Linked DNA regions of Pelodiscus sinensis. The protein of the gene in region 1 purifies or fractionates together with the protein of each later gene. This does not show direct contact. Links are inferred from orthologs where the notes say so. Each region holds a gene or a part of one and is shown on either strand. Other genes may lie near its edges. The genes, in order: AKAP9, CDK5RAP2 and PRKAR2A.

Evidence for each region.
Region 2: the proteins of AKAP9 (region 1) and CDK5RAP2 purify together in Homo sapiens (affinity purification with western blotting; 4 studies listed by BioGRID and IntAct, with this or other methods). This does not show direct contact. The link is inferred for Pelodiscus sinensis from reciprocal best matches to the Homo sapiens genes AKAP9 and CDK5RAP2.
Region 3: the proteins of AKAP9 (region 1) and PRKAR2A purify together in Homo sapiens (affinity purification with western blotting; 3 studies listed by BioGRID, with this or other methods). This does not show direct contact. The link is inferred for Pelodiscus sinensis from reciprocal best matches to the Homo sapiens genes AKAP9 and PRKAR2A.

The regions. Positions count from the first base shown.
Region 1 is NC_134712.1:214,228,748-214,235,931, forward strand, and holds the start of AKAP9 (A-kinase anchor protein 9), read right to left. Parts: upstream 3,045-7,184; 5' UTR 2,869-3,044; coding exon 2,821-2,868; intron 2,778-2,820; exon of another isoform or gene 1-2,777. UniProt on the Homo sapiens protein: Scaffolding protein that assembles several protein kinases and phosphatases on the centrosome and Golgi apparatus. Required to maintain the integrity of the Golgi apparatus. Required for microtubule nucleation at the cis-side of the Golgi apparatus.
Region 2 is NC_134732.1:9,786,649-9,794,242, forward strand, and holds the start of CDK5RAP2 (CDK5 regulatory subunit-associated protein 2), read right to left. Parts: upstream 3,069-7,594; 5' UTR 2,743-3,068; coding exon 2,690-2,742; intron 2,035-2,689; coding exon 1,967-2,034; intron 1-1,966. UniProt on the Homo sapiens protein: Potential regulator of CDK5 activity via its interaction with CDK5R1. Negative regulator of centriole disengagement (licensing) which maintains centriole engagement and cohesion. Involved in regulation of mitotic spindle orientation.
Region 3 is NC_134721.1:250,208-258,236, forward strand, and holds the start of PRKAR2A (cAMP-dependent protein kinase type II-alpha regulatory subunit), read left to right. Parts: upstream 1-4,992; 5' UTR 4,993-5,153; coding exon 5,154-5,406; intron 5,407-8,029. UniProt on the Homo sapiens protein: Regulatory subunit of the cAMP-dependent protein kinases involved in cAMP signaling in cells. Type II regulatory chains mediate membrane association by binding to anchoring proteins, including the MAP2 kinase.

The DNA.
Region 1 (7,184 bases):
CGTGTCCTAGAGCCCCTGGGGGAGCAGGCTTCAGAACTGGGAGGGAAAAGGAGGGAAAGTTGGTCTTGAAGAGATGGGGCAGGAGAGCCTGTCCATGTACGCATCTTGGAAAGCCTAGATGCAGTCCATTACAGATGTCAGGGAGGACAAGCAGTCTTCTGGTGCTTCAGTTATAGTTCCCTGCATGCTCTCCTTTCCTGACACTCCACTCGCATCTCCTCCAGTAACATATTTCCCCACTCTTTGTGCTGGCAATGCCAGACAATTTACTGCTGGCTTGGTGTGTAAAGGTGCCCACCGTGTAGTATTGAATAAGGCAGGCCTCCCCAGAAACCTTGTGAGAAGGATCAAAGAGTACTTCTATGAGAGTTTCATGGAGATTTGCAAGGAGGATTCCATTGTGCTGTCTCCAAGACACATTAACAAGCTGTTCCGGGCTCTGTTCCAGGCTCTTGCATTGCGTGGCGCACTCTATGCCTACACATCACACTCAACTGCATGAATCTACTTGTAGGAAGGAAAAAATTGTGAACTCACCAGAAGTGCCTTTCCTGGGATCAGTACCCAACTGAGGCACCATGAGAGGAAGGGATTGTCTCCAAGGTTATAAAAAGTTCTTGGCTATTGCCACTTGCCTGCTGACCCTCCTCCTCCACAATGCCACCCTGATTAGTGTCTTGGGAGGATTCCACAGTCTGGCTTGGGAAGCTAGACTTATGATCAAATGCAACAGCTTGTAGAAGTGGCATGTTTACAGCAATGCTCCAGACTATCCATTTGCCTCCTTTGTCTTTTTGGTAGGATTGCTTCAACTCCTTTATTTTCACACGACACTGCTGGGCATCCCTGGTGTATACTTTCTCCTCATTGGACTTTGTGATCCTCACATATATATCTGCATTTCGTTTACTGGTTTACAGCTTCATGAGAACAGATTCCTCTTCCTACATGCTGATGAGGTCCAAGATCTCCTTCACACTTCATGCTGGTGCTCGTCTGAGCCCCTGGGAATAGGAGCTCCTGGAACTAGAACTCATGGAAGTCATGGCCAGGTATACTGCCTGCTCTGAGATGTGCTCGCCATGCTGTCCACACAGGAAATAAATTCAAAGTTTCCTGGGGATTCTCCTGTTCACCTGGAAAGCAGTCTAGCCACAAGTTCTGGCCAGTGTGGTCACAGTGAGGCACTGTGGGATGTCTACCAGAAGCCAAGAACATTGATTTTTGCAACTCTGTGTCTACTGTACCGTAAAGTTGATCGTGCAAGGTTGAATTTAGCGTTATTCCTCATGAAAAGCAGGAGTATCAAAATAGACTTTAGCATCCCTTAAAGTTGATGGAATGGGCTTGGTAGTATGAACTCACTGTTTAAAAAAAAATCAGCCTTATGCAGCTAAATTCGACCTAAATGCCCAGTGTAAGCCAGTTCTGAGAGGTAGTTTCATTATTGTAAGATAAAGAGTTTTACAGAACTTCACACTCACAGAAGCATCTATGAAACTTTAGACATTTATCACTTAAAGTAGTTGTGTGTTCAGAGCATTTAAACAGTGTAATTCACCTACAGTACTGAAGGCTGATGAGCAAATATATAGCAAAAAGGTTACTATACAATTACACTGCAACCTTCATGTCTGAAGACAGTCATAAGTAACAAGAAAAGCAACTAAAAATCCTCTAACACACCTCAGCACTTAGTTTACAACTATTTATATAGCTACAGCATGTAAAATTCAGAGGAATGTTTAAGGGATGTAAGATATCAAGTCTTTAAGTAAGCACCTACAGAAGGGCTCCTTTAGTTTTCACCCATAGAGGACTAGAAGGTGGTGTAGGTTACATTAACCCTTCAAGTGAAGTCAAGGAAAGGACAGAACTAAACAAAGCCACAGGAAACAATCAAAGGGAGAAGAAAGGAGAGGCAGAGAAAAGATACTTCCCCCGCCCGGCAAGGGGATGGGCATCCAGAGGTGATGAAAGGGTGAAAGATAAGAGGCCCCATCCTGCCCTAAGCCTCTCTTGAACCCCCAACCCTCACTCTTGCATTGCCTTCTCTCACTCCTTCCTGCACGACCTCCCGCCACATCCCCAAGGCTCTGCCCTGAGTCCTGCACATTCTACACCACCATCTGATTATGGGAACAATTTGGGAAATAAGCATTAGACACACTGCATTGTAATGTTATTTTCTAGTATTAGACACAACATGATGTTCTTAAAATGAAAAAAAGTTATTTCCATGAATTTGTACATTGCTTTAAAATCCCAAGTAGCAAATTGTGCATCAGGTTAACTGTATGTTGTAAACTTCGTTTCCCTCATCCCCAAATACCTTTTTGGGGAACTGAAGAAGTATTTCACCCCGACCACTGAAGCTATACAGATTCACAAACGACACCAACACACGTACAGAGTTTCACTCGGGAGAAATACCATTGGCTTTCAATGTGTAACTGCTGGCACTTGTGGCACTTGCAAGACATGCGCTGTCCACTCACAGCTGTCACAAGCCAATCACACAGGGAGAGTAAAAGAGAACCTGCTCTGGAGCCCACTGCTATCAAACATAGCCCAGCCCCCGCAAATACCCCCAGGCTGCCCGCGCGCTCGTTAGCAGGGAAACACACTAGATACAGGTGGGAATAAAACTGGTGAAAGAGTCACCCCTGCTCCTCGGGGTGTGCTCCCTCCAGGCTACTTGGGAGACTGGCTTCGCCCAGGGGCCCCTCCCCTCCCCCACAGCTCCGTCCCGCCCCTCAGCGCCCCTACTCCCCACCGCGCCCCTCTCCCTCCCCCGGCCGCCACAGCCCCCGCGCCTACCTTGGCTTTCCCGGCCTCCAGTTTCTTCCGCCGCTCCTCGTCCTCCATGGCCCCTGCGCAGAGAACAGAGCGTCACCGGCCCGCCCCGCTACAGCGCCAGGAGCCTCCGTGGCGGACCCACCGGCGCCGCCATCTTCAGCTCCACGTAACCACGCGCGGCCGGGGAAAGTGACGTCCGCGTCGCCGCCGCCGCCTCCCCGCCCAGCCCCGCTGCTCCTGGCAGGTGCGGCCGAGAGCCCCGCCCCCCTTCGGGCCGCCCTGATAACGGGAGCCGTGGCAGGACAGGGGGGCGTGACGCTCCTGACCGCCCCCTTCGAGACTCCTGCCCTCCCAGGGACCCCCCATGCCCCGCCCCCCATCTGCAGGCATCCACCCCCGAGACGCCTGCCCCCTCCCCAGGCACTGACAGGCCGGGACCCCGACCCTCGCGCCCACTGACGGGGGCCGATCTCCCCCCTCTCCTCTAAGAGACACGGACACCTTCCCCTCCCCACTCACTCGCCTGGGAGAGGAATGCGAACCCGCTCCCTATGACACACTGCCCTTCCCCCAACACACTGGCGCTGGGGGATGCCTATTGTCATTTTAAAAATGTAAAGTACATTTTTTATTCGGACTAAGTGTTTGCAAACTGAATGCTGCTACAGTATTTATTTTTGCAATATTGTTTTTCCAAATGTTACCTTTAAAAAGAGGAACGTTTCCTTGTTACCTATTCCTGAAGTTGATTCAATGATGGGAACATGTTACATTGCAAATTGTCTATCCCCCCCGCCCGCCTTCTATATGCCATGTGCGGTGTTTGTCCCGGAAATCCTAACAATCAAGTCGGCAAGGTATTTGTGCATTATGTACCATGCAAAGGTGATGCCTATATTTGTAAGAGTAGGCTCCATGTCTGCTGTTCATATCATGTATATTTCATGCATCAGCCGTTTTAATAGGTTTTGTTTGGTAAAGAATCACTAGGGGGCTGTTCTGTTGGCTCCTATGCTCACCAACCCCCTCTCTCTGGGAGTAGGCAGCCCTGACTCCCTCTGCCACAGTTGGCTTCCCAGTTGTGTGAGCCTCAGCTGGCCTGGGGGCAGAAAGGAGGCAGCCTGTGTGAGCCGGGCTGGCTCTTGGTTTGGAGACCAGGCTCAGCATGGGGTGGTGCTGACCACGGGGTGGGGGACCGGTTGCTTTTGGCTGAGGGAGGGGGAAGGGAAACACATGTGTGCAGATCTGGAAAGCTAGATCCTGCGTGGAGACTCTGGTCTTCCCTCCCCCCCATGCTGCAGGAAGCCAGTGCTGGTGCTCCAGTCTTGCAGGGGGCTGAGCTGGTGAGTGAGGGGGCTGGGTGGAGGGGTAGAAGCAAGGAAGCCACCAGCAGGGTGAGCGGGGAGCTTGCCACATCCTGCCGCTGTGGACCATGTTGTCCACAGGACTCCTTCCGCTTCAGCTCTGCCTACCCCCTGCCCCCAGCCTGTTGACGCTGACATGATCATGTCATGTTGTTGTACCATAGGACATTATATATATATAAATAAAGAGAGATGATTTTATTGGTTATGGTAATGAAACATTAGGGCACATCAGTACCTGGTCACTCAAGATTAAGCAGTATGCTGTGATTAGTTAATACAGGTTGTACCCTCCTGGTCTTGCACCTCCAGGACCTGACTGGTCACAAACCAGGGAATTTACCAGATGAGAGAGGTCAATGCCAGCCTTTCTACCCAGGCCCGGCCAAAGAATTTGCTGATCCTAAGGTGGCATGCAGTGGTTGGCTGTGCTGCGCAACAGGGCAGCTGCCAGCCAGGGCAGCAAGCAAGCGTCCGGACACTGGGTAACATGAGGCCCTGAAGGTGCCCCACTTCCAGCACAATCCCATTGGCTGGTTTCTGGCCAAAAACCAACCAATGGGAACTGCTTGTTGGAATATTGGGCAGCCAAGAAGAACCACGACCCCTCTCCGCTGCTCTGTTATTCATGAAGCACATGGCCAAGCAAGCAGGCAGGCTGGTTGGGAAATGTTTTAAGCTCTGCAAGCAGGCAGGCTGGTTTGCGTGCTGCCTGGTAAGTCTTCTGGCCACAGCACAAGACGCGGATCGGTCGACAAGGGAAGCCTTTGTTGACTGCTGCCATATGCCTCGTGAAACGTGGTTTACAGGAGCAGTCAACAAAGGCTTCCCATTGTCGACCGATCCGCGTCTTGACTCGCACGCTGTATCGACAATCAGTTGAGCCAGCACAACACGGTGGCCATTTTTATTTTAATGAACCCAGGGATATTTAAATCCCCACTTAATTGACTATATCGGGTAGACTATTTTACATGCCTCTGTCGGCAGAGGCATGTAATCTAGACGTACCCTAATAGTAGACATTTTTTTTTAATCAACCATGCAAACAAAGTTTCACTGACTTCTGTGGGAACTGCATTGAAGTAAAAATGGATTTATTGTTCATAGTACTCCTCCTTATTGCACAGGTGTCTGGAGTGATTGTTTACAGCATAGTTAAACATGCAGAACTGAAATATTTAATATTTTTAAAAGGGATCAGCAAGATATAAGTGGAATGCCTTGTTGAAAGAGGTTTTAGCTATTACTTTGAATCAATATAAGAGTTTCATGTGTGCTGTATTCTTAAATAGTTCCCTTACAATTTAAGAATCAATAAAATCTTTTTCGTTGATAGGAACATCAGTACACTCTGCATCCTCTCTTTGTACTCTTAAGCAATAGACTCTAATTAGATGCTACTGCATACAATAGAGAATTTCCTGAAGTGATAATTGATACTCAGAGACAGAGACAATACACAGCAGTTGCTTTTGAAGATGTAGTTGTGCAAATCAGTTGCATTATTTGATTTTATAGGATATGTTCTGAGAAAACTACTGAAGCCAATAACATTCTTGTAAATAATATAGAAATCAGACATTGTCTGGGATATGATTAAATAAAAAAGCCGTTCTGAATGACATTGTTTATAGAAATAGTTTGACACATATGTGTATGAGAGAGAGAGAGAGACATCTTGTCCATGTTTTTTTTTCCTCTACAGAAAAATATGTATATTTTAGGAATAAGATTTGTTTGGTAAATGTGATTTTCAATTCTAAAATAAATTATAGAATGATTTCTCCTGCAAAAATAATTCCTTAAGTACTGAATATGTGTTTTGATAAATTAAATTAAAATATAGAAAATAGTGTTCTTCCTCATGCAGTAAAATAGGAGCAGTTTCAACATTAGATATTTTTAAACATCCTGTTTGGTGATAAATTCTATCCTACTGCCAATTCTGGGTACTGAACATTCTTTTAAAATTATATATTTTATTTACAATTCAGAAATGTAAACAAGCTTTTATGAAAACACATGTACAAATACAAGTTGATAAGGTAGGAGTGGGCAATAATTTTTGACGGGGGGCCACTCCACGATTTTGGAAAGTGGCCAAGGGATGCACTCTTCCATGATATTAATGAAGGAGATGCGGGGTGTGGGATGGAGGTTAGGTGCAGAGGGGAGCTTGGGGTAAGGAATTGGGTGCAGGAGGGAGACTGGAGTTTGGGAGGGACTTTGCGTGAAGGAGGCGGTTGTGACCTAGGGCGGGGACTGGAGTGCAGAGGTTTGGGATGTGACCTAGGGCAGAAGGGACAAAAAACAGGACTACGTAGCACTTTAAAGACTAACAAGATGGTTTATTTAAAGACTAACAAGATGGACCCACGAAAGCTCATCACCTAATAAACCATCTTGTTAGACTTTAAAGTGCTACATAGTCCTGTTTTTGTTTCAGCTAGACCAGACTAACACGGCTACATTTCTATTAGGTTAGAAGGGGATTGTGATCTGGGACAGGAGATTGGGGTGCCAGATCTGGGAGGAGGTATAGGTGCAAGAGGGGGACAGAGGGTTTGGGTATGTTGAGTGGGGAAGTAGGGAGGGACAGGGGTGCAAGAGGCAGGCTGTGGCCAGAGGACTTACCAGCCAGCACGCAAACCAGCCTGCTTGCTTACAGAGCTTAAAACATTTCCCAACCAGCCTGCCTGCTTCCCTGGCCATGTGATTCATGAATAACAGAGCAACGGAGAGGGGGTGTGGTTCTTCTTGGCTGCCTGTTATTCCAACAAGCAGCTCCCATTGGTTGGTTGTTGGCCAGAAACCAGCAAATGGGATTGTGCTGGGAGCGAGGTGGCTCCTGGACCTTCCCTCTTCCCTTCTAGTTTTAAAACAGAGACAAAATCCGGCAGCCTTGTTTCTGCAAGGCGCATGGGCCTGTGGGGCAAGCAGGAGAGCCTGCCTGGGGGTCCCTGCTGCCTCCACAGGCTGGATCCGGTGGCTTGGTGGGCCAGATCTGAACCAGGGGTT
Region 2 (7,594 bases), on another chromosome or scaffold:
CGGGGTGGTCTCTTTCATTTAAAAAAGATGTGGCTCCTGCTGCTTCTGAGCCACGCGCCCTGACTATTCAGGCCGGCAGCTCTGCGCATGGCGTCCCAGGGCTTGCTCACGGGCAGCCACTCAGCACACAGAGTCCCAGCGCCTGGAGGGAGAAGTGCGTGGCGGCGGATCCAGGACCTAGGCATTAGGTTAGAGCCGGGGGGGGGGGGGGGGGAGAAAGAGGTGCCTGGCTCTGGGTCAGGGGGATTGGGTTACAGTGGGGGGGGGGGGAGGTGCCTGGCTCTGGGGGAAAGGAGAGGGATTGGGTTAGAGCTGGGGGGGCGGTGCTTGGCTCTAGGAGAGGGGAGGAGGATTGGTTTAGAGCGGGGAGGGGGCTGGCTCTGGAGGAGAAGGAAGGCATTGGGTTAGAGCTGGGGGATGGGAATGCCTGGCTCTGGGGAGCATTGGGTTAGAGCAGGGGAGGGAAGGGGGAACTGGGAATGCCTGGCCCTGGGGAGGGAGGGGCATTGTGGGGGGGGGGGGGCACGAAGCACCTTAAGCTCAAAGTCTCCGTGGATGCAGAATAAGGCAGCCAACACAGATGTCCTATTTAAATTCTAGGGCAAAAAAAGAATCAGCATGTACCTGATTTACAATGTTTCTTTAAAGAATATTCAAAGGCTATTGTTTGCCAGGCTGAAGCAATTATTCTGAGATGTTTTTGAACCTCTCATATTTGCAGTCTGGGACAGGCACTTCAAATTGTGCTAAATTACTTCTCAGTGCAGTTTGATTTAAAAAAAAAAAATCACAGGACATAATACGGCAGTAGTGTTAAATTTCAAATACATAGTGGGAATGCTTTTTTGTGAGAGAGAATTTACTGTATTTTTAAAGGTTTTTTTTTATTTGATGTGTTTTCCTTGTCAAGTCCTCTGAAGATCTATGAATTTAAATTACTAGAGACTTTTGTATTGGTTTTTGTCTGAAATGTCTTGTAATGTTGTTTTTATTACTACATGTTGTGTACTATATCGATCTTTCTCTATATAAATATATAAAAATAAATATACAATACGTGGCTCTTTGTATTCTATTCACCGCTATTTTGGCTCTTTGTCTCTAAGTGGTTGGCCACCCCTGCCCTAGACAATACTCAACACCCATGGTTCGGCAAATTCTCTGCTTCGGAACAGGTCAAAGCTCTAGGATGCTGGACTAAAGCGGTTCAACCTGTACCACTAGCTTCAGTTTATACGGTTTGTTGGTTTTCTTAAAGGGACATTATACTTATAAAAATTATATGTTGCAAATAAAGAAGTTTATTTGCCTGTTACTAACATCTATTAAAAGTGAACTGTTAAGTGTGAAGGCTAGGATTATAACAGGGTTTAAAAGAGAACTAGATAAATTCATGGAGGTTAAGTCCATTAATGGCTATTAGCCGGGATGGGTAAGGAATGGTGTCCCTAGCCTCTGTTTGTCAGAGGGTGGAGATGGATGTCAAGAGAGAGATTGCTTGAGCATTACCTGTTCAGTTCACTCCCTCTGGAGCACCTGGCATTGGCCACTGTCAGCAGACAGGGTACTGGGCTGGATGGACCTTTGGTCTCACCCAGTAAGGCCATTCTTATGAACTGAACTTACTTTTCGCTATTTATGATCTTTATTAACTTTTGACACTTCTACCAGCTGGGTAATTTATTCAGTTTCACTATGTAGTTATTTTCACTTTCAGATTCCCAGTGCTGCAATATTTGCCTAGCAAATACTGTGGGTTAATCGTTTGAAACAATAAGTTTTTAACACAGGAACATTACAGAAATGTGTTTATTAGACTACAGTGCTGTAAGAACAAGTTTGGCTGTTCTCTAGACAAGCTCTTGCAAATAAGATGTTTATCTTCTAACTTTGCACTCTCCTGAAATGAACATTTCAAGCGTTCATTTGACCACTTCTTGTGTGCCATCACATTAGCTGCCCTTACCTCCATTACCTCCTACGCCAATACAAGGTTCTTCTCTGGAGACATCTGGCAGTCTGGAAATACTGACGCTAAGAGTGAGACACAGGAGGCATTTCAGTGATGGAAAGTTTAGAAGCCCCACAAAAAGTCCCTCCTTCCTGAGTACTTCCAGTGTCTCTCCCCAACACACAATACACGGCAAACACCAAAACGTGTTTTGTTAATCTATAAAGTGCTACCAGACCATTTGTTGTTTTTTAAATTTATCCTGTACAGACTAACTCCGCTAACCCCTGAAGCTACCGAAAGGGAGGGAAGGGATCCAGGTAACAGCTTCGCACCCCTTCCCCAATATTAGAAAAGATACTAAGAGCCAAACAGCCACATGGGAGGTGGGGGTATGAACCCCAAGCTGCAGTACTCCTGCCCCTGTGTGTGAGGCCCAAGCCACAGCCAAACTCTGGGGGCTTCAATCACCAGCAGACAGCTCCAGCAAGAGGTGACCAGACCCGAGTGTGTGGGGAGGGGGAATCCCGAGCGCCCCCGGTCTCGCCGGGGGGAAAGGGGTACTCGGATTTCCACACATGCACAGTCGGTCTGGCTTGGAGGAACGCGTGGGGGTGATGCCGAGCGCCACTCCGCTCCGCAGGCCAGACCCCAGTGGGGGGGGGATCTCAAACAGCCTCGCCCACGCCGGACGCCCTAACGGTCCCGGCTGCCTGCCCCGTCCCACCCCGCTCCTACCTGCCGCTAAACTCCACGGGCAGGGTGAGGTCCTCCCCCGGCAGCGAGTCCATGGCGGTGCGACCCCCGCAGGGACCCTCCGGCGGCGGTGGCGGCTCTGGTTGTTATTGTCCGAGTTTGGCGGCTTCGTTGGAATTCAAACGGCCGCAACCGCTTCCGCCATCTTGTATATCCGACTGTGAAGCCACTTAGGCCGCTCTGCAATGGTACGTGCTGAGGGCACGATAGAAAGCTAATGGGGCGCCGCCATCTTTGCTGAGGGCAAATGCTGCATACGCCAGCTTGACTAAGGGCAAACTTTTGCGGCAACCAAGGCCAGCAGCTTTCACCTCTAAGAACAAAGAAGGTAGCGAATGTGGGCAGTAGCCATCTTGAGTGAGGGCATGAAAACGGGCAGCGTGCGCAGCCGCCATATTTAATACAAGAGCGAAGGAGGGTGTGACCAGGCGCCATCTTTAGTCAGGGCAGTTGCGCTGCGAGGGATACTGGTTAGCATCCCGCAGTGTGACACACGCTCTGAGTCCTCTAGTCTCAGTATGATGCGGTCAGTTCCGGGGTGAGAGCAGCAGCCCACGAGTGCTTCTTCCCTGCTGCCTCCGTCAAGGGAGGGAACAGGGGCTGGTGCTGGGGAGAGCAGACTTAAACAACGGTTCCCCGCAGCACCCTGTCTGCAGTGCCTCCTGCCGCCCCACTGCTGCCTCTCAGAGCCAGCTGGGGAAAGGTAGGAGAGGCTGCTCTGGTAGCAGCCCCGGTCCGCGGGGTGGCTTGCCGCAGCCAGCCCTGGCCACTGTGAACAGGGGCTGCTGAACTCGGATCAAGCAGTCCCGGCTCGCACCGGTCTGGGAGCATTGCGACTCTGCAGTGTAAGTGGGGCGCTCAGCACATTTAAAATGCAGAGGTGCAGCAGTCCTAGAGCGAGCCTCCTCTTATCGACTAATCGTGTGGTCCAGCCAGGCTGGGCAGCGCATGCGCTGTACGCCCCAGGGGCAGGCCCCAGGTTGCGCGCCAGCGGCCATGACTGGCCTGCGCATGCGCCGAGCACCCCGGGGGCAGGCCCACGCTCCACAGGCCGGGCCTGCTATAGATACATACGTTTATCAGCTCTAAATGGACCAGTGTGGTGCAGACTAATCTCTCATATAACACATAGGACTTCCCTCAATTAGATCCTCTTTGGTTGTTTTTCTAAAAGATTTGCACTAATTTAATGTTGTTTTTAAAGAGCCTGTCAGGACAGTTCCCCATTCTGGCACTCTGAGTGCAGAAGGTGGGGGCCAGCGAAGACTTTAAATATACCTTGCCTCTGCAGGCTCTGGTTACAAAAACTCCCCCAGAGTCACAGATTCACTGAGTTTGGGAGGTAGCTCCCACCATCAAGTGACTTATCCCTAAAACCAGGGGGGAACACTTGAATTCTCCCACATGGGGCATCCCAAGCTCTTTCACCCCAAAAGAGCTTGAAAAAAGAAAAGAGAAAAACAAGCTGCAGTCTCTGGTAGCTGACCACCCAGTCTCAGGCAAGCAAATACACACACACAGCCCCTTGTTACTTTCCAGGACAAAAGAATCAAATCATCACCTTAAAAAAGTGATTTTTATTAGCACAACAAAGGCTAACGCACACTTGGTTGCTAGATGTTACAGTGCAACCAAGGAAAACAAAATGGAAAATCTCTGGGAACAATTCTTAGATGGTAAATGGGGAAGGGGAGGCATAGATTCAAACAGAGTAGTTCAAACCAAACCACAAAATAAAGAAAAATACCCTGATCATAACTAGATTCACTTTTTCTCATGATCTCTCTTGGTTCAGTCCACTTCCATGCCCCAAATTCCTTGGAGGCATGGTAGTCCTCCCTGGATTTAAATCATTCTGTGTCTCTCTAATCCTGGTTTAACTCTCCCACACAAAGAAAGCAGGCAAGTTATCGTATACAATTCAGATTTCATTACTGTATGCCCATTGGTTCTTCTCACTCCCTGCCAACACCCTTGCTAGCTACCTGAGTTTAACCCTTTAGTCACCGGGTGCTAGCCAGCACTCCTCTTATCCATCACAGAGCCAGTGATGGAGAATCCACCACACTCCCAGGTAAATTATTCCGGTCAATTACCTAGCAGACAATCCAGGTAAAACATGTTTTCAGGCACTGTATCATGATATACATTTGTCTGCTAGGTTGAAGAACATGTTATGAAAATTTTGTTCGCCATGTAAGTATTTATATAAACTGATCAAGCTAGGCCTTAGCTTTTTCTTTGTTAAACTCTGTAGATTAAGCTCCTTGAGCCTATCACTATAAGGTGGTTTCTAATCCTTTAATCATTCTTATGGTTCTTGTGTGATGGATAGACAGATACTTTGTGTAACATACTTAATAAGCAAGTATAAAGCACAGTGCTATAGTTCCAGCTAAAAGACTCTCTATATCCATACATGGGATGGTAGACTAACTATCAGTATGGCAAAAAATCATGTGACCGTGTATAGTTACGACAATCCCATGAAGGAATTATAGCAATAGTTTCAATGCTCTTTGTTACTTTCATAGCTACATGGATCCAAACAGCAAGAATCCTATCTTTCATAATAATTCAACCTGAAAATACTGTAAAATAACTTTTCTAAAATTGTTTTTCTTGCCCAGTAAAGAGATGAAAGATAGTCAGAAAATACTTCAGAAGAACTGGTGTTTTGCCAAAATGATTTACTTAACTATGCATTGCATCATGAGCCTGTGTTTTGTAGCAGTAGTAGTGTTCCCTTTTCTCATTGTGTGTATGTGATTTCTATTATTGCTACTTTCTTGTACCTCGATAGCTACCGGAATACAATTGAAAGGCAGAAGAGCCAATTTTCAATATGATCTGCTCCAGAAATGTGATGTATTTCTTCAACTGTATTATTTTATCTTTTAAAAAAAAAAAAAAATGAAAGTGATCATCCACATGGAATTCTGTATTTCAACATTATTTTTACATTTAATCATAGAAGCAGATTTATATTGGCTTATATAAGCTATTGTCTCAAAATTGTTTTTTTCTAACTATATTTAATATTTCCAATTTAGGAGGTGTCGCATCTCCCTGTGCAAATACAATCAATTTATTCCTTTGGTGAGCACAGCAGCATGCTGACTTTGCTTTAGAACAGCACATGCCGAGGGCCACAACTTAAGTGTGGTTGCATATACATGCAAATATATATGCAAATAGCTTATTTCACACAATGCCCTGGCACTCCTGGCACCTCCTCTCTGGGAGCTAGAAATGCCGACACTCTGAACCCACCTGTTGCAGCCAGCCCATCCACTTGCATCTTTCATTGCTCACCCACCTGGGAGATGCCTCGCCATTGAAGAGCGTATTCCCAGTGAAGGCCATGTTCAAAGGATCCCACCCGCGGGCCATGCATTGAGCCCCGCGTAAACCCAAACTGTACCACGGCCTACAAAGAAACGGGCCATAGGCCATGTGTTGAGTAGCCCTGCTTTAGAACATTAAACTGACGCACGTACACACAAATTGTACAATAACAGAAATGATCTCACATTCCCACAGTCAGTGATATGGTCCAGATCACCATAGTATGTGAGTGCCCCATAATCAATATAATTTTCCTCACAACACCTATGAGGTAGGGAGGTGCTATTATTAGAGATATTTAATGTTATATAGGAAGCCAAAGGCAGAATTGGGAACTGAGGCTGTGTCTAGACTACATGGCTCCATCGACAGAGCCATGTAAATTAGGGTTGTAGGCAAAGGGAAATGAAGCGGCAATTTAAATAATCGCCGCTTCATTTAAATTTAAATGGCTGCCACGCTGAACCGACAAACAGCTGATCAGCTGTTTGTCGGCTCAGCGCACTAGTCTGGATGCTCCGCGGTCGACATCAAAGCCCTTTGTCGACCACTCCGTTATTCCTTGTGGGATGAGGTTTACCGCGGCGGTAAATTTAAATCGCCACTTCATTTCCCTTTGCCCAATAAACAAATCTACATGGCTCCGTCGATGGAGCCATGTAGTGTAGACATACCCTGAATGTGTAAATCTCCCAAGTCCCTGACTACCATTCTAATTCCAAAACCATCCTTTCTCTCTACTTTGTCCTGTCTTTAAGCTAGCAGTTTTCAAACTATGGGTCAGGACTTCAAAGTGAGTCTGTTGCTGAGGTTCAAAGCCAAATTCTCATCAGTGGGGGCCAAAGACAAAGCTCAGTGGCTTCAGCCCTCGATGGCTTTGCCCTCTTCCCACCCCTGCCCAGGGCAATGTGCTTCAGCTTGGACTTTGACCTAGCCCACAGTGGTGGGGCTTGGGCAAGCTTAGACTCCCCGCTCCTTTAGGGTTGTGCAATAATTTTTGTTGTCACAAGGGGGTTGCAGTGCAATGAAGTTTGAGAATGCCTATTCTAAGCAACATATCCATTAGTAGTTTTTTATATTTTGTTACTGTAGCTGGAGATTTCCAACAAGTTCAAAGCTGTATTCCCTGTAATGGCATCTGATCTTGCAAACATATACATATATATGTTTTTAACTTCTCTCACATAAGTGTGCCACCTGAAGTCAGCAGAATTATTGACATATGTAACTTTAAGCACTCATGTAATTATTTGCATATTGGGAGCCATAAGAAAGGGGCCTAATCCTGAAGTCATTTACTGATATGAGTAAATTTACCCTGCTCACTTCAACAGGATTATCTGAATTAATAAATTTACGTAAGTAAGTGTTGGCAGGATCAGATCCTACAATTGCTCTTATACTCTACTGCTGCAGACAAAAGAAAGCATTTCAATAAAAAGATGTTAATGTAACCCTTTTGCCACGTAGTGTCAGCTGCAGCTATGGCTGGGTTAAATATCTGGGGTTCCCTCTCAGAGGGGTAGCCGTGTAAGTCTG
Region 3 (8,029 bases), on another chromosome or scaffold:
GGGATTTAAATACCCCCCGCTTCATTAAAATAAAAATGGCCACTGTGCTGTGCCAGCTCAGCTGATCGTCGGCACAGCACAGCAGTCAAGACGCGGATAGGCTGACAGGGAACGCTTTTGTCGACTGTTCCTGTAAACCTCATTTCACGAGGCATAAGGAAGCGGTCGACAAAGGCGTTCCCTGTTGACCGATCTGTGTCTTGACTGCCGTGCTGTGCCGACAATCAGCTGAGCCAGCACAATGCGGCGGCCATTTTTATTTTAATGAAGCGGGGGATATTTAAATCCCCGCTTCATTGACTATGTCAAGTAGTTTAATTTACATGCCTCTGTCGGCAGAGATATATAGTCTAGATATACCCTTAGTTTGGTGAGGTCTTTTTGAAGCTCTTCACAGTCTGCTTTGGTCTTAACTATCTTGAGCAGTTTGTTATCATCTGCAAATTTTGCCCCCTCACTGTTTACCCCTTTCTCTAGATAATTTATAAATAAGTTGAATAGGTTTGGTCCCAGGACAGACCCTTGGAGGACCCCACTAGTTACATCTCTCCACTTGGAAATCTTACCATTTATTCCTACCCTTTGTTTCCTGTCTTTTAACCAGTTATCCATCCATGAAAGGACCTTCCCCCTTATTCCATGATAACTTACTTGACTTAAGAGCCCTTGGTGAGGGACCTTGTCAAAGGCTTTCTGGAAATCTAAGTCTACTATATCCACTGGATCCCCCTTGTCCACATGTTTGTTGACCCCCTCAGAGAACTCTAGCAGATCAGAAAGGCATGATTTCCTGTTACAGAAATCATGTTGACTTTCCCTCAACAAATTATTAATCTATGTGTCTGACAATTTTATTCTTTACTATAGTTCCAACTAATTTGTGTGGTACTGACGTTAGACTTACCAGTCTGTAATTGCCAGGACTCCTCTAGAGCCCTTTTTACATATTAACTTTACATTAGCTATCTTCCAGTCATTAGGTACAGAAGCTGATTTAAAGGATAGGTTACAAACTACAGTTAATAGTTCTGCAATTTCACATTTGAGTTCTTTCAGAACTCTTGGGTGCATGTCATCTAGTCTCAGTAACTTGTTACTGTTACGTTTATCAATTCGTTCCAAAACCTCCTCTAATGACACCTCAATCCAGGACAATTCCTCAGATTTGTCATCTAAAAACAATGTCTCACAACCAAATCCTTTCTTTGCTTTAAGTTATAATAAGAGGAAGCTGCATACTAAATTTCATGGTCCTAGCTCTTACCGTTTAGGAGGAGTTCTTGAACAAATGGATGGATGGACAAACTCTCTCATACATACATGCATGAATGTATATAGTAGATGAAATAAACTATACATCATCAGGGTAAATGCCAAAAGGACATAGTCTTCTTGCAGAATGAGCATCACCATCTCAATCTCTAGCTCAGGGCTAAACAAGATGAGGCCTGGGGACCAGATCTGGCCCGTGGACCATATCTAACTGATTTTTATTTATATACTGCTTCTTGTGACACCAAATTTCCAGGTGGTGGCTCAGGCAGCTGGATCCAGAGCTGCAAGTCTTTTTATAGCTGCAGGAACCCCAGGCAGCTGCCAGGCAATGTGGTAGCAGTCGGGCCAAGAGCCACAAGCCCCTTAAAGGGCTATTTAAAGGGCTCGCAGCCCCTTTGCCTGGGAGCCGCCTAGGTTGCTGCTGCTATTTCAAGGACTCCCCATCATGGCACTACCCTGGCAGGGCTGGAGCCTCAAGCCCTTTAAATAGTGGCAGCAATGCAGGTACCTGCTGGGTAGCGTGGTAGTGTTGGGGTCGGGAGATGCGAGCCTTTTGTTCTGTTTTTACTTCAAAGCCTGCAGCCCCAGACAACTGCTAGTCCCCAGTCCCCACCCTCCCAATCGGTCTCTGTCCCATTTGGGGAGGGGAGAATGGGGTGAGCCAGCCTGTGACTAGTACCAAAATTAAGTAAGTGGCTCCCCTGTGAAAATTATTGCCCACCCCTGCTCTAGTTAGATCCTTAAAACAGTCTGTCTGAATGTTTAATCTTATTGTGCCACTAAAGCTTTTGATCCTCACCTTGACACTGATCAGATAGTAGCACTGCCTGGCAAACACACTGTTACAGTTCAGTATAATTGCACCTATAGTTCCTGTCAGTAGTCCAGCAAGGTCATACTTCTCAGGCTGCCAACTCCCCAGCCACTGCCTTACTTGGATGGAGACCTGATCTTATTCCCTCCTGACCAGTGTATTTCCAAGGTGCACAGTTCTCTGCTTTCACAGTCTTATTCCCAACAGAGGCAGACTAACCAAGCACAGAAGCTTACATTCCCTTCAGGCTGATAACAGGTCAATTATCTGCAGTTATGTTAGCACACAGTTATTTCTATGCAAACCTATTTTATTCTTAAGGTTAAAGCACTACAGAGAAAGCATTAAAATCAGTAAAACACACTACATGCATGCTAATAAGCCTAGTAGAGATCTCACTAACACAGAGGTGTGCAAAAATATTTGATGGGGGGGCACTCCAAGAATTTGGAAGGTGGTCGAGGGCTGCACTCTTCCATTATATTAATGGAGAAAGTGTGGGTTCTGGGATGGAGTTTGCATGCAGAAAGGAGCTTGGGGTAAGGGATTGGGGTGCAGGAAGGCTTGGGGTCTGGGAGAGAATTTGGGTGAAGGAGGCGGTTGTGACCTGGGACACTGGACTGGGGTGCAAGGGTTGAGTTGTGACCTAGAGCAGGAAACTGGGGTGCAGGGCTTTGGGATGTGACTGAGGGCAGGAAGGGATTGTGACCTAGGAGAGAGGATTGGGGTACAGGAAGGAGTGCAGGGATTTGGGTTGTGACCTAGGATAAGGGATTGGGGTGCAGAAGGGAGTCTGAGTTGTGACCTAGGGCATGAGGGAACTGTGATCTGGAGTGCCAGATGTGGTAGGGGATATTGGTGCATGAAGGGGACAGAGGGTTTGGGTATGTAGAATATGGGGGCCAAGGGTTGGGGAAAAGAGGGTCTAAGGTGCCAGAGACAGGCTTTGGCCTGGAGACTTACCTGGGTGACTCCCAGCCAGCAGCCCAGCACATTTCTGAAGTACCCTCCTTGCCTGCCCCACCCCTGCACATGCTGCAGGGCCATGTACATGTGTGAATAAAACAAGCCGGAGAGGCCTGGGCATGGTGCTTTATGGCTGCCTGTTATTCAGACACTCAGCTCCCATTGGCTGGTTTCTGGCCAGAAACCGGCCAATGGGATTGAGCTGAGGGCAGGGTCAGTACATCAAGCCTTTCCACCACCACTGGGCTCAGTTTTGAAAGAGAAACAGCCCAGTAGCCATTTTCTGAGTGGCCTGGGGGGGGGGAAAGGCCAGCAAGGAGCCTGCCTGTGGCTCCTAGCTGCATCCACAGGCCGTATTTTGCCCAGGCTTGCCCTAACATGAGCTCTGGCTGGAGCACTTCTTCCAAACCCCACCCAAAGGCTGTGTCTACACTGGCTCGATCTTGTGCAAAAGCAGCCGCTCTTGCGCAAAAACTTGCTGCCTGGCTACACTGGCCGTGTGTTCTTGCGCAAGTAAACTGATGTTTTAATGTATGAACTCAGGGCTTCTTGCGCAAGAACTCTGATGCTCCCGCTCAGGAATAAGCCCTTTTGTGCTCATAATGTTTAGTCCACCCTTTTTACAGTTCATGAATCTTGGATCTGGAGTTTCCAGGAACAGGTAATTTAGGATGACCACATGTCATCCTGTTTTGTCTGGGGTAGGAATATTAAATTTAGATTGGGATTTCTATCAACAATTCAGTTAGTCTATAAGGGCACCTCCACCTTTGAAATGTACAAGAGCCCTGGTGCTCTTGTACATTTCAAAAGGAAACCCCCACAGGGAGAATGCGGAGATGAGGGCAGCGGGGCAGTTCCCTGCTGGCCTTGCTCACCCTGTGGGGCTTCTGCTATTGGAATATACAAGAGCCCCGCTGGGGTTATTGTACATTTCAAAACTAGAATCACAGCAAGTGATGTGAGCGGAGACTGCTTCAGTCCCCGCTTGCACCATTTCCCCCTGCGCCTATACCTCCCCTCCCCCTGCAGAGACAATGCTGGGGGAAACTGGCTTTTAAAAGAGAAAAGGTCTCAGCCTCTCTCCTGATGCAAAAAAGAGGGTGTAAGGGAGGGATCAGGCTTGGGCCCCTCTCCCGAGGCAGCTGGGAGGGGGGAGGAGGGAGCCCGAGGCAGCGGGGGGGGGGGAGGAGGGAGCCCGAGGCAGCCGGGGGGGGGGGAGGAGGGAGCCCGAGGCAGCCGGGGGGGGGGAGGAGGGAGCCCGAGGCAGCCGGGGGGGGGGGAGGAGGGAGCCCGAGGCAGCCGGGGGGGGGAGGAGGGAGCCCGAGGCAGCGGGGGGGAGGGGGGAGCCCGAGGCAGCCGGGGGGGGGGGAGCCCGAGGCAGCGGGGGGGAGGGGGGAGCCCGAGGCAGCCGGGGGGGGGGAGCCCGAGGCAGCGGGGGGGAGGAGGGAGCCCGAGGCAGCCGAGGGGGGGGAGGAGGGAGCCCGAGGCAGCCGGGGGGGGGGGAGGAGGGAGCCCGAGGCAGCCGGGCGGTCAGGCCCAGGCCGTGAGGAGAACAGGGCTGTGAAGAGGGTAGCGGCTGAGGCGAGGGGCTCGCCGGCTCTGAGGTGGCCGGGGGGGGGGGGGGGGGCGCTCCCGAGCTAACCACAGAACCTCAACATCTCTCACACATCAACTTCCCGCGTTCCAAGACTGCGCATGCGTAATGCTGATTTGCTGCGCCCCCCCATTGAACACCCAGAGTACGCATGTGCAGAATTCCCTCCTTTTCTCCCGCAAGGAGGTTTAGCGCGTCTCTGAGCCGAGGACGCGCCTTCTGCGCGTGTCCCTACTGTGACGTACGCTCACCCTCTCCCCTATCGTCGGCGGCGCGGCTCCCCCGCGGCGCATGCGCAGCTCTGCTCCTCCGTCGGGCTCCGCCCCGCGCCGCCAACCAGAGCATGCGCAGTCGCGTGGCTCCCGTTCTCTCTCTCTCCGGAGAGGCTTGTGTGACAGCGGCGGCGGGAGCCCGCGAGCGCCCTGAGGAGGGAGGCCCCTGAGCCCGCGGGAGCCGGAGCCAGCCGGGGGAGGCGGCCCCGCGGAGGGAGTCCCCGGCACCATGAGCATCGAGATCCCGGCGGGCCTGACCGAGCTGCTGCAGGGCTACACGGTGGAGGTGCTGCGGCACCGGCCGCCCGACCTGCTGGGCTTCGCCGCCGACTACTTCACCCGCCTGCGGGATGCCCGCGACCAGGAGGCCGCCGCCGGCCCCCGCAAGGGGGTCAACTTCGACGGGGAGCCCATGCAGACCGAGTCCAACGGCGAGGAGGAGCCCGGGCGCGGCTCCGACGACTCCGACTCCGACTTCGAGCGTAAGGGCCGGGCCGGGCCGGGCCCCCGCGGGGGGCGGCTCCGTTCCCGCGGGAGGGGCCGCGCGGGCTGTCCGAAGGTCATTCTCCCTCAGCCGCCTTCGCAGCCCGCGCGCCTCGCTCGCGCCTCCTTCGCGCGCGCCGCCCCTCTGCCCCTGAGCAGCCCTGCCCTCCCTCGGGTGCCGGGGCAGGGGGCCCTCGGGCGGCGGTAACCCGCACGCTATGTCCCGTGCTAGAAGGGCGCAGTCCCCATGAGCTTGACAGACACGGCGCGTGCGAGTAACGCTCAGCTGCCTTCTCTGGGCTCTTCTCTCGGTCTCTCTTTGCCTTTTGTTGTCCAGAACCCAAATGTCCAACTTCTTAACAGCATGAAGTGTCCTGGCCCATCGCAAGTAGCTGTGCAGTTGAAAAGGGAGTTTGGGGTACAAAGTTAGGCCTTTATCCCACTGAGAGAGAGCCTTCTTCTGGAGGAAATCATCAGATGTATGCAGCTACCCTGTAACTGCCAAAAGGGTATTGTAGTGTCTGACTTGAACCGTTAAGGATTGAAATGTCCGTATTTCTAAGTTATGTGATATGTAAAAGTACATGCTTTTGTTCAGCCTTTACGATATATACCACAACATGGTTATTTAAGGTTAGAGTTGCAACTTTAACTGTTTTTCCTTGGCTTTCAGTATGAGTTTGAAATATCAGAGGGGTAGTTGTGCTAGCCTGTATCTGCAAAAAGTAGGAGGCCTGTGGCATCTTAAAGACGAACAGATTTGTTTGGGCATAAGCTTTCACGGGCAAAAAAACCCACTTGCAAACAAATCTGTTCCTCTTTAAGATGCTACTGGGCTCCTCATTTTTACAATATGAGCTTTGTGCTTGATGGGTTTTTTGGTGTTCATTTAAAATTACACACTATTATAAAAATTGAAATCTGTTGCTAACTTTATTACCCCGTTTATTAAAAGTAGAAAATTTCAAATGTCTAATACCCTTTTTTCCATTTACATTTGTGTGCGTGTATGGTGGGAGGTTGGATGGGTAGTGCTGGGTGCTGAGTTGAGCGTACATAATGGAATGATGATGTGTATGTGTTGTAATAGTGTGTGGGCAATTGAGTTTGTTAAATAATCATAATTCGTTTAGGGTATCTGATGCTTTTTCTCCCTTTCTGCATCTGGTGGTGGTGGGAAGGCTTGTGTGCTTTTATTGGTTCCTGCCCTGAGCTGCTCTAGGGCAAAAGTGAACATTTTTTTAAGGGTTTACCCCCGACAGAATCTGCTGCTCTGTTCTACTTAGCAATAGAAATCACAGTAGTTATGTAAAAGACCTAAAGTAGGTACATTTTTTCTAGGGATGTTTGTTTATTTTTGTAAAAGTGTAACTGCTGACACAGTGGCGGGGGGGACGGGGACAGGCAGCTCTGGCTTAACGCATGTATGGGATCCTGCCTCCCTGACACTTCCATGTATCAGAGGCAGCAGTGCAGGAGGAGGGACAGATGGCTCCATGGGAGAAGGCTTAAAAGCTGACTCCCCACATGTACCAGCTGCCCCCTCCCCCCTGCATTGCTGCCTCTGATATAGAGGCAGCGGCATGAGGGGAGGGGACGTTGTCTCCACAGCAGTTGATATGCGCAGGGAGCTGGCTTGAAAGCCAGTACCCTATGTGTGCTGATTCATGCCTGCCCCCTCCTCCTCTGTTGCGTGGGAGGCAGGAATGGGGGCAGGTGGCTCTGCAGGAGCCAGCATGTGGATGGAATTGGCTTAAAAGCTGGCTCCCCATGAGCACTGGGTCCCACTCCTTCCTCTCCCCCCCGCTGCCTCTGATAGAAAGGCAGCAAGGGGGGGGAGTGTGTGTAACCAGAAGGATTAACTGATGAGCCCAGACTTATCAGTTAATCATGTAAATAGATACATGCTAACATCTCTAATTTTTACCTGCTCTTCCAAAGTATACTCTGTAAAGTGTTATCACATAATACAGGATGCATCCAATCTATCTGTGAAGGATAAATTGAAGCCTTTATAGTTATTTTAATTGTCAGTAATAATACTTGTTACTTTACAAACATTAGACTAATAGAATAATAGACATAGACTAGTTAATACTGTTTACATTTAAAATCTGTTGCCTTATATTTTCCTACTAGAAGTCCTATCTGGTATGGCTTTCTCTCTTTCTCCCCCCCCCCCCACCCCCCACCTTAGCTGGAGAGACCATTTCTCCCCTTCCCAGCTTCCATGACTGCCAAGGGTGTTCTGTCTCCTCTTGCACCCTTCCCTGCCCCATTGCTGTGGTGGGGGAGGATTAGGGGAAAGGGGGCTATATACTTAGTTTGGTGGCAGGCCACATAGTGGAGCCCAGTCTCTGTGTGGGTCATTTGGTGGTGTGACTGCTTCCAGTGGTGTCTCTGCAGTATGGTTTTCCCTTGCAGGCTGCCTTCAGTGGCCACTCTCAATATCATGTCCCTCCTCTCTGTGCCCTCTCTTTTCATGTTTTGGAAAACAATCCCATTCCTAGCACTTCCCATTTTCTTGGCACAACCAAACCCTGACCTTGCTTGAAGTTAGAATAAGATGAAGCTGCATACCAAATATGGAGATCCTAGCTTTTACCATTTAGGAGGAGTTCT